Linked DNA regions of Daphnia pulex. The protein of the gene in region 1 purifies or fractionates together with the protein of each later gene. This does not show direct contact. Links are inferred from orthologs where the notes say so. Each region holds a gene or a part of one and is shown in the gene's direction. Other genes may lie near its edges.

The links.
Region 2: the proteins of cilia- and flagella-associated protein 20 (region 1) and CLK4-associating serine/arginine rich protein-like purify together in Homo sapiens (affinity purification with mass spectrometry; 3 studies listed by BioGRID and IntAct, counting the BioPlex papers as one, with this or other methods). This does not show direct contact. The link is inferred for Daphnia pulex from reciprocal best matches to the Homo sapiens genes CFAP20 and CLASRP.

What each region holds. Positions count from the first base shown.
Region 1 is NC_060020.1:7,305,572-7,308,522, reverse strand, and holds cilia- and flagella-associated protein 20, read left to right. Parts: upstream 1-1,320; 5' UTR 1,321-1,431; coding exon 1,432-1,560; intron 1,561-1,630; coding exon 1,631-1,777; intron 1,778-1,840; coding exon 1,841-2,146; 3' UTR 2,147-2,220; downstream 2,221-2,951. Other genes in the region: glutamate receptor ionotropic, delta-2-like, read right to left, coding at 431-579, 665-790, 854-1,029, 1,112-1,153, 2,302-2,431, 2,485-2,791, 2,852-2,946. UniProt on the Homo sapiens protein: Cilium- and flagellum-specific protein that plays a role in axonemal structure organization and motility. Microtubule inner protein (MIP) part of the dynein-decorated doublet microtubules (DMTs) in cilia axoneme, which is required for motile cilia beating.
Region 2 is NC_060022.1:6,846,414-6,850,829, forward strand, and holds the start of CLK4-associating serine/arginine rich protein-like, read left to right. Parts: upstream 1-1,599; 5' UTR 1,600-1,844; coding exon 1,845-1,888; intron 1,889-1,950; coding exon 1,951-2,005; intron 2,006-2,089; coding exon 2,090-2,187; intron 2,188-2,258; coding exon 2,259-2,449; exon of another isoform or gene 2,450-2,743; intron 2,744-2,806; exon of another isoform or gene 2,807-3,259; intron 3,260-3,420; coding exon 3,421-3,654; intron 3,655-3,718; coding exon 3,719-3,894; intron 3,895-3,958; coding exon 3,959-4,044; intron 4,045-4,150; coding exon 4,151-4,416. UniProt on the Homo sapiens protein: Probably functions as an alternative splicing regulator. May regulate the mRNA splicing of genes such as CLK1. May act by regulating members of the CLK kinase family.

The sequences.
Region 1 (2,951 bases):
GCCTAGCTGGCTGGAATCAGCGACATAGCCATCAATGGCTAGTCGGTTGTCTCGGGGTGGCTATAGCATCCGGAGAGAGCTGGGGATAGAGTAGGGTGGTGTCATATCGCACTCCCGAAATTGTATGGATATTCAAGTTCATTTTCATTTTTCAAGTTCATTTTCATTTTTCAAATTCGTTTTCATTTTTCGAAATCATTTTAGTTTTTCAAATTCATTTTAGTTTTTCGAAATCGTTTTCATTTTTCAAAATCATTTTCAATTTATGAAATCGTTTTCAAAACGTTTTCAATTTTTGAATATATTTTCAACTTGATTTCAATATTCAAATCGATTATCAATTTGTTTTCACATCAAATATGGTAATCGATTATTGAACATTTTTTTTGGAAAAAGTGTTCATTCCGCACCCCATAAATTTCGTACTTACTGTCGATCAAATGCATCTTTAAACGGACTTTTCTTTGGCAAAAAGTATGCGAAAGCACGAGGATAAAATGTTTGTTTAGCCAAAGTTACACGACAACTGTTGTGTTCCTTGCGATCGTTTTCCATCAGCGACAAAAGGGACATTCGTGGCTAAAAATACGTATTCAGATATGCTGATTACAGTGGCAGCTCCAATCTACTTGCTGAAATTTTGTACTTTTGTATTTTGGCCTACCTCTAAAAATCCATATTTTCCTTCGACTGCACGTTGAACACCAATTAAAGTGTTGGCTACTAAAGTTTCATTTGGGTATTTGCGAAAGGTGTCGCCGATTAGTTTATAGGTACCATTTTTGGCATTCTGAATAAAGATATAAAAACCGTTACCCTGATATCAATGTTTGGAATATCTTAAATCTCAAACCAGCATGATATCATCGACTGCGGTACTCTTAATCGTGACCGGCTTGATGGTGGAGCTCGTAGCTAATTCATCTAAAGTATTTATTATAGGAACGTAGTTGGGAACAGCTAACAAAGCCGTAAGCACCCCAGTGTAAACGTATATGAATACTACCATCGTTAAACACCATGTGGCCGCTATTAAGGAAATGAAACAAAAAAATAGATAATATTTTAAATGACAAAGATTCAAGAAATCGTATAAATTAAACTGTTTCACCTGCAAGACGCAAACCCAAGCGATTTTCATTATATCCAACACCTTTTATGCATGAGGAAAAACAATTATAATTAACAATAAAGTAAATTACTCCAACTATTTTCAAACTAGAATTAAAACAAAAAATACTAAATAAAATAATAATCTAAAAATTTATTTCAATATGCACTTGGAAGCGAAAAAATCTGGCAGCGGTGCGTTGCTATGACGATCGTTTGTTTATTGAATAAACACACAATTGACACAAACAACTGATTTTACTCGAAACTTATTTCTTAGTCTAGTTCTAGCCTAATAAGTCCATAGTTGAAACCGGCAAAATGTTTAAAAACACTTTTCAAAGTGGATTTCTATCCGTTCTTTATAGCATTGGAAGTAAACCTCTGCAGCTCTGGGACAAAATCGTACGAAACGGTCATATCAAGCGAATAACTGACAACGATATTCAGGTAAAAAAAAAAAAACAGTTTAAAGCAGCGTTAAACTTAGAAATTAACTGATTTTTTTATGAATATGAAGTCCCTTGTCTTAGAAATTGTTGGAACTAATGTTTCAACAACATACATTACATGCCCTGCTGATCCAAAGAAAACTCTTGGAATCAAACTTCCATATCTTGTTATGATTGTCAAAAACATGAAAAAGTATTTCACTTTTGAAGTTCAGGTTAGTGATATATAATTCACATGCATTGATCTTTAATAATTACTTAGTTTGCAAACATTTTAGATTCTAGATGATAAAAATGTGAGACGTAGATTCAGAGCAAGCAACTATCAATCAACTACAAGAGTGAAACCTTTCATTTGCACTATGCCTATGCGGCTTGATGAAGGATGGAACCAGATCCAATTTAATTTAGCTGACTTCACAAGGCGTGCTTACGGAACAAATTACGTCGAAACTTTAAGGATTCAAATTCATGCAAATTGCAGAATTCGTCGCATTTACTTTTCTGACAGACTCTATTCTGAAGATGAATTACCTGCTGAATTCAAACTCTATTTACCTGTTCAAGCTAAGGCAAAAGTGTAAATGTGGTGACTTATGATGTATGCTCATCTTTATTTTTTTCCTGCAATTAAAACCACTTTTTCTATGCACCATTATTTTGGTCTCCATGACTTTTTAGTTTTTAAGCTATAGCTTACTTTAATAGTTATTAATTACAGAGTTTTTTTAAATGTTACCTTGACCAGTAATGATGCCTACAACCCACATTGCATGGTCTCCAAATTTTTTTCTGCTCGAATTTATCTTTCCTTCAATTAATAAAGTAAAGTAAACCAGAAAGGTGGAGGAGATGAAAGCTATCCACACCTACAGAATGAAATATTAATTACTTCAATTAATATTAATAAAATGAAAATAACCTCTATGCTGAATGGTAGAAAGGCCGCCATGATTTTTGAAGTTTCATCTGGAAAAGGAATCAGTATTCCTGTAACATCGTAAATCACAGGGACACTGAAATCGACTGCGGTGTATCGCGCGTAAGTTATGGCATTCAAACTAGCCCCCATATCAGCTTCCTTAATGATAAAAAATCTGTAGTAAAAGAAATTCTTACTGGATATTTCAAAAAAATTTACTTTTCGCAGAAGCTGCCCAACGATTCCATCCCATTGCCCATTTTTGAAACCTCCAAACAGAAAATCAGGCGGGTGCGTTATAGTCAAACTAAAGCGGATATTTTTTTGTAAACAAGATATCCCTTTGATATTAAGAAATTAAGCATACGAAAATTGAAGACGCGCGGCCAGCAGATTTAAGGTATCGCTTGCAATCAAAGCATTGTAACTGCTTTTAATTCCAGGAATTTCTACAAATGGTGGCTTTA
Region 2 (4,416 bases), on another chromosome or scaffold:
TTGCAATGCGGTTTTCACGTTAGTGGGAAAGTTAGGCATAACTCGATGCGGAGAGGGTTTGACACAGAAAAATTTTACATCCCTCCAGCGTATTCCAGTAGTAACAGGCTGAATTTCTGTCTTGCTTGTTATTGATATTTCCTATTTTAAGAGTATTACTATTATTATTATTATTATTATAATTTTTTTTTTAAGTTTGAAAGCTAAATCAATCGTAATTTTCAAAAGGAGAATCTCATAGCATCACCCCCACAGGAAGCCAATATATGGAATGGTCGCATACTCCGATTCAGATCATCTAAAAGTAATAGAATAACTCACATTTTGCGATAAACTCCTTGATTTTTTCCTGATTCTTTTTTTCTTAATAGGGTGTTTCGTCAACAATGCAAGGTGTCCTGAATGATTACTGAAAAACCCGCGATGCCACCCTTAATTTCTTTAATTCATCATGTTTTTAAGGACTCGATTGTTGGATACCGAATTCAATATATTATTCTAATGCCACCATATCAAGGTTGATTTAGAGACTTTTGAGTGACTGGAGATAAATTGGATTGGAGTTCTAAAAGAAGTTCCTAAAAAATTACTCAGGCAAGATTCACATTTATTCTATGACGTCATATTGGGTAGGTGGGTGTGTGGTAGAGATATATGAGTATAGAAAGTATGAGTTGAGGTTGAGGCGGGGATTCAGCCCAAAAAACTTTAAATTAATTGTAGTCCAAGATCTTTTTTTGTTGGACTCCCAGCCGAATCGTCTCATCACAGTTTATTAACCCCATCTCTCACCTTTTCAAAGAAAAAGGTTTTTGATCAAGTGCCAAAAAGGAACCTCAAGCTTCGCCGGCATTTTCTTGATTTAATTCTCTTCTCAACTCACCGCGGTTAGACTCCACCTCTCCGGAGTCCGGACCATCTTTGAATCATTGGAACTCATCATCAATCATATACATGAGCAAGTTGCAAGTTTATTTTTTTAATTTGAAATCCAATTGAAGAAATACTTAGCAAATAGATTTATTTGGGCTGTCTTATTTTTTTTTGAAATTTTGCTCGAGCAAACGCTTGATTTATTTTGAAGTAGTCTTACCAATCTTGATGTGGTATAATTGACTACATATATTTAACGGTAAATGTCGTTAATTGACTTTGTTCTTCACTTAGTTCACTCAATATTGCGTTAATTTCCAATCTCACATTTAACCACTAGTTGTAGTTTAACGCTAGCTTGCATCATTAGACATCGGTAAACCAGGAAAATTGTTACTCTTCTTGTTACCTATTCGTATTTTCCATAAATTAACGGACCATTTTATTACTTAATAAGTATTCTCTAAGTTGAAATTGAGAAATGTGAAAGCTGTGTGACGTACGGTTAACCTACAAAATGTTGTCGAGAGAAAATGCTGTAACCATATGCTCAAAAGATAAAAACTAAAAAGGAAAAAAAAATCTTTTCCTATAACGCTCATTTTTCCACTGCAGTTACTGATGTAAAAGCTGCTAATACATTAGAAAGTTGGACTGTCGAAACGACAGGAGTCGGGAGAGAAAGTTTTGATATTTTGAAGTTTAAGGCCGAGGGTTTGGCGTTTTGCATACATGCGTACATGCGATTTGTTTTGTTTTTTGTTGCAACACCTAAGGCATATAGTACTTGTGTGATCCGCTTGGTGGCTCCTACCAATCTTGTAGAGTATTTTAATGAAGGATGATTAGTCTGCTGTTACTTTGAAGTTTTTCAAAAATATAGAATTGTTGATAATAAGTGAGTAAAAACGTATTCTATACAGTTCAGAAAGTATAGGATTCACTGAAAACGAAGATTTCGACCCATCAACATGTGGCATGAAGCACGAAAACAGGAGCGTCTCCTGAAGTCTATGTATGTGCAAATGGCATTAGATGTCCTTGGCTTTCTAATTCTGAGCTCTTTTTCAATTTAAGGATGGTAGATCACCGAAGGCGAGCTGAAAGGCGTCGAGAATATTATGAGAAAACAGTCAGTCAACAATATAACAAGCTTAATAATTTTATTTTTTCCACCCACAAAATTTAAAAAAAAAATTAATGCTACAATTTTTAGAAAGGAGATCCTGCCCAATTCCTTCAAGTTCATGGTCGCCCCATGAAAATTCATGTTGATCCAGCAATAGCAGCTATAGCGGACAGTCCTGCTACAATGTATAATGAGGGCTCTAAATATCTTGGATCTCTGTACCTATTAACTTTGCCCAAAAAACTTACTTTTACAGGATGCCTTGGCAAGGACAACCAGAAATCTTGATTGACCGGTTTGATGTTAGAGCACATCTAGATGTTATTCCTTGTCGCCCCCAAAAAGATGACAGCGACACTGATCAGGATCCTGGTGAGGAGGTGTGGGAAGAAAGACAAGCGAGCTATGAAAGATACAGAATCCTTGTACAAAATGAATTTATTGGAGGTAAGACATCTCTCAAAGTTCTTAAGATACATTTAGAAAATAAAATCAGTTGACTGAAATCACTCAGTGGTTTGTATGGACAATAATTTACATTTTTCAAAACATGCCAAGATTATGCCTTATTGTAAACTGTATTAAACTGAATAGCTTATGCATTCTCTTCACGAAATTGTGAATATGGTAAGACCGATCCTCTCCTGGTGTTTCCTCCAAATAGTGACCGGGAATAGGCGCCCCTTCAGTTAATGTTGCTGTCACAAGAAGTAGAATGATGAATTTTGCTATTAGTGCACTCTGAAAAGAAAAGGGTGAATAACTTGAATATCCAGACTAAATTTTATAATAAATATTTATTACCTTAATCCGGAATGGACAAGAAGGACAAGCTTCCCTGATCTCCATTAAAAAGCTCTATGTTTTCACCATCAATCGCAAAGAACAGCAAATAAGTTTATTGTTCGATCTCTGTATTTTAGTCTGTTTTTCTCCACTTTCCTGGAGAACAGAAGCTGTCATCACCATTGAAGTTTAAAAGAACAGGTTATGCCGCGATACCCCCAGAACTGAGATTGACGAAAAACAGATTCCGTAGATCTTCTTTAGAAAGTAGGAATGATAATGCCACACTGGAATCCGTTCTTGATTATTTCTTTTCGTTTCGTCCTTTTTTTTCTTGGCACTAAAATCGCGCTCTCTCTGACTAACGAGACAGTTGGCGTTTTCACTGTGCAAGGCCGCTTAAACTTCAACCACGCTGCTCGCTTTCTTGAAGACGAATGCATGCGAACGGTACCTCCGTGTTTGACAAAACCCTTTTCTCCTTCAGCCTTGTCGATTGCGAGAGATAGCAATAATGAATGTTGACCTAGACAGAATATATGTAAGAACTTGTAAGGCCTGGAGGACTTTTTACTTTTGTTTTCTATGCTTTCTTTTCATTAACTAGTTTTTTGTGTAATATGCATTTTTAGTTTCAGAGGAAAAGTTTCTACATCAAATATTGCTTGAAGAGCAATTCGGACCAGTTCAAAAGTTAGGTGAAGAGGAAAAGAAAAAAATGCTTGCGCCGAAGAAAGCGGCCATTGGGTTCACTTATGACGATTCCACGCCATCCTCGTCAGCCGCAGCATCAACTTCGCATAATATTCCCGTGGTTCCTCCCGAAGCGACTGAAGAAGAAGAATCCGATAGCGACATTGATTTGGGTAATATTAGTCAAATACAATCAAATAATCGAAAATATCTGTGAAGACATTGATGATCTCGTAGATTTATCAATTGCTGTCGATAAATTGACAACTGAGCAAATGCACGAAGTCAACAAATGTGCACTTCACTATGGGTTAGGCCGGCAGGACTTCATGTCACTACTCACTCGTGATTTGGATGAGCAAGAGTCATTACGAATCGCTAAAGAGGAAGAACAAGAACGGGCCATGTATTCTGTAATATTGTAAAAATATTTCAGGTTTAGTTTCTAATAACTAACTATTAGACAAAAAATCCTAGGGGAGAAAAGCAAGGAAAGAGCGACGGGCGTTTAGAGAGCAAAAGCTGCAAGCATTGCTTATGAATCGATGTCTGAGTCCTCCAAGGTAAAATCACCCTGCATAATTTTACGTTCATATTTTTGAACAATTTGTTTTTTCCTTTCTTATTCAACATTCTTGTTTGCTTCGTTTTCTTTCGTGATGTTTTTAGTTACGCTACACGAGCTAGCCCAACTTACGATGGACAACTTCGCCGCTCGAAATCAGTGTCCAAGTCACGTTCTCCTTCACCCTTCGAAGGTGGAATCAAATTTATCACATCTTTTGGTGACGAAGATTCGGATCCAGGAGGGAAAACAATTAGCTCTCGGTCTCCGAACAAAACTCGCGATAAAGATTTACCAAATAAGCGGCCATTTGCCTCCACAACTTTTTTGGCTCGAGACAGGGGTGGTCGTCCTTTAAACAGTGGTCGTG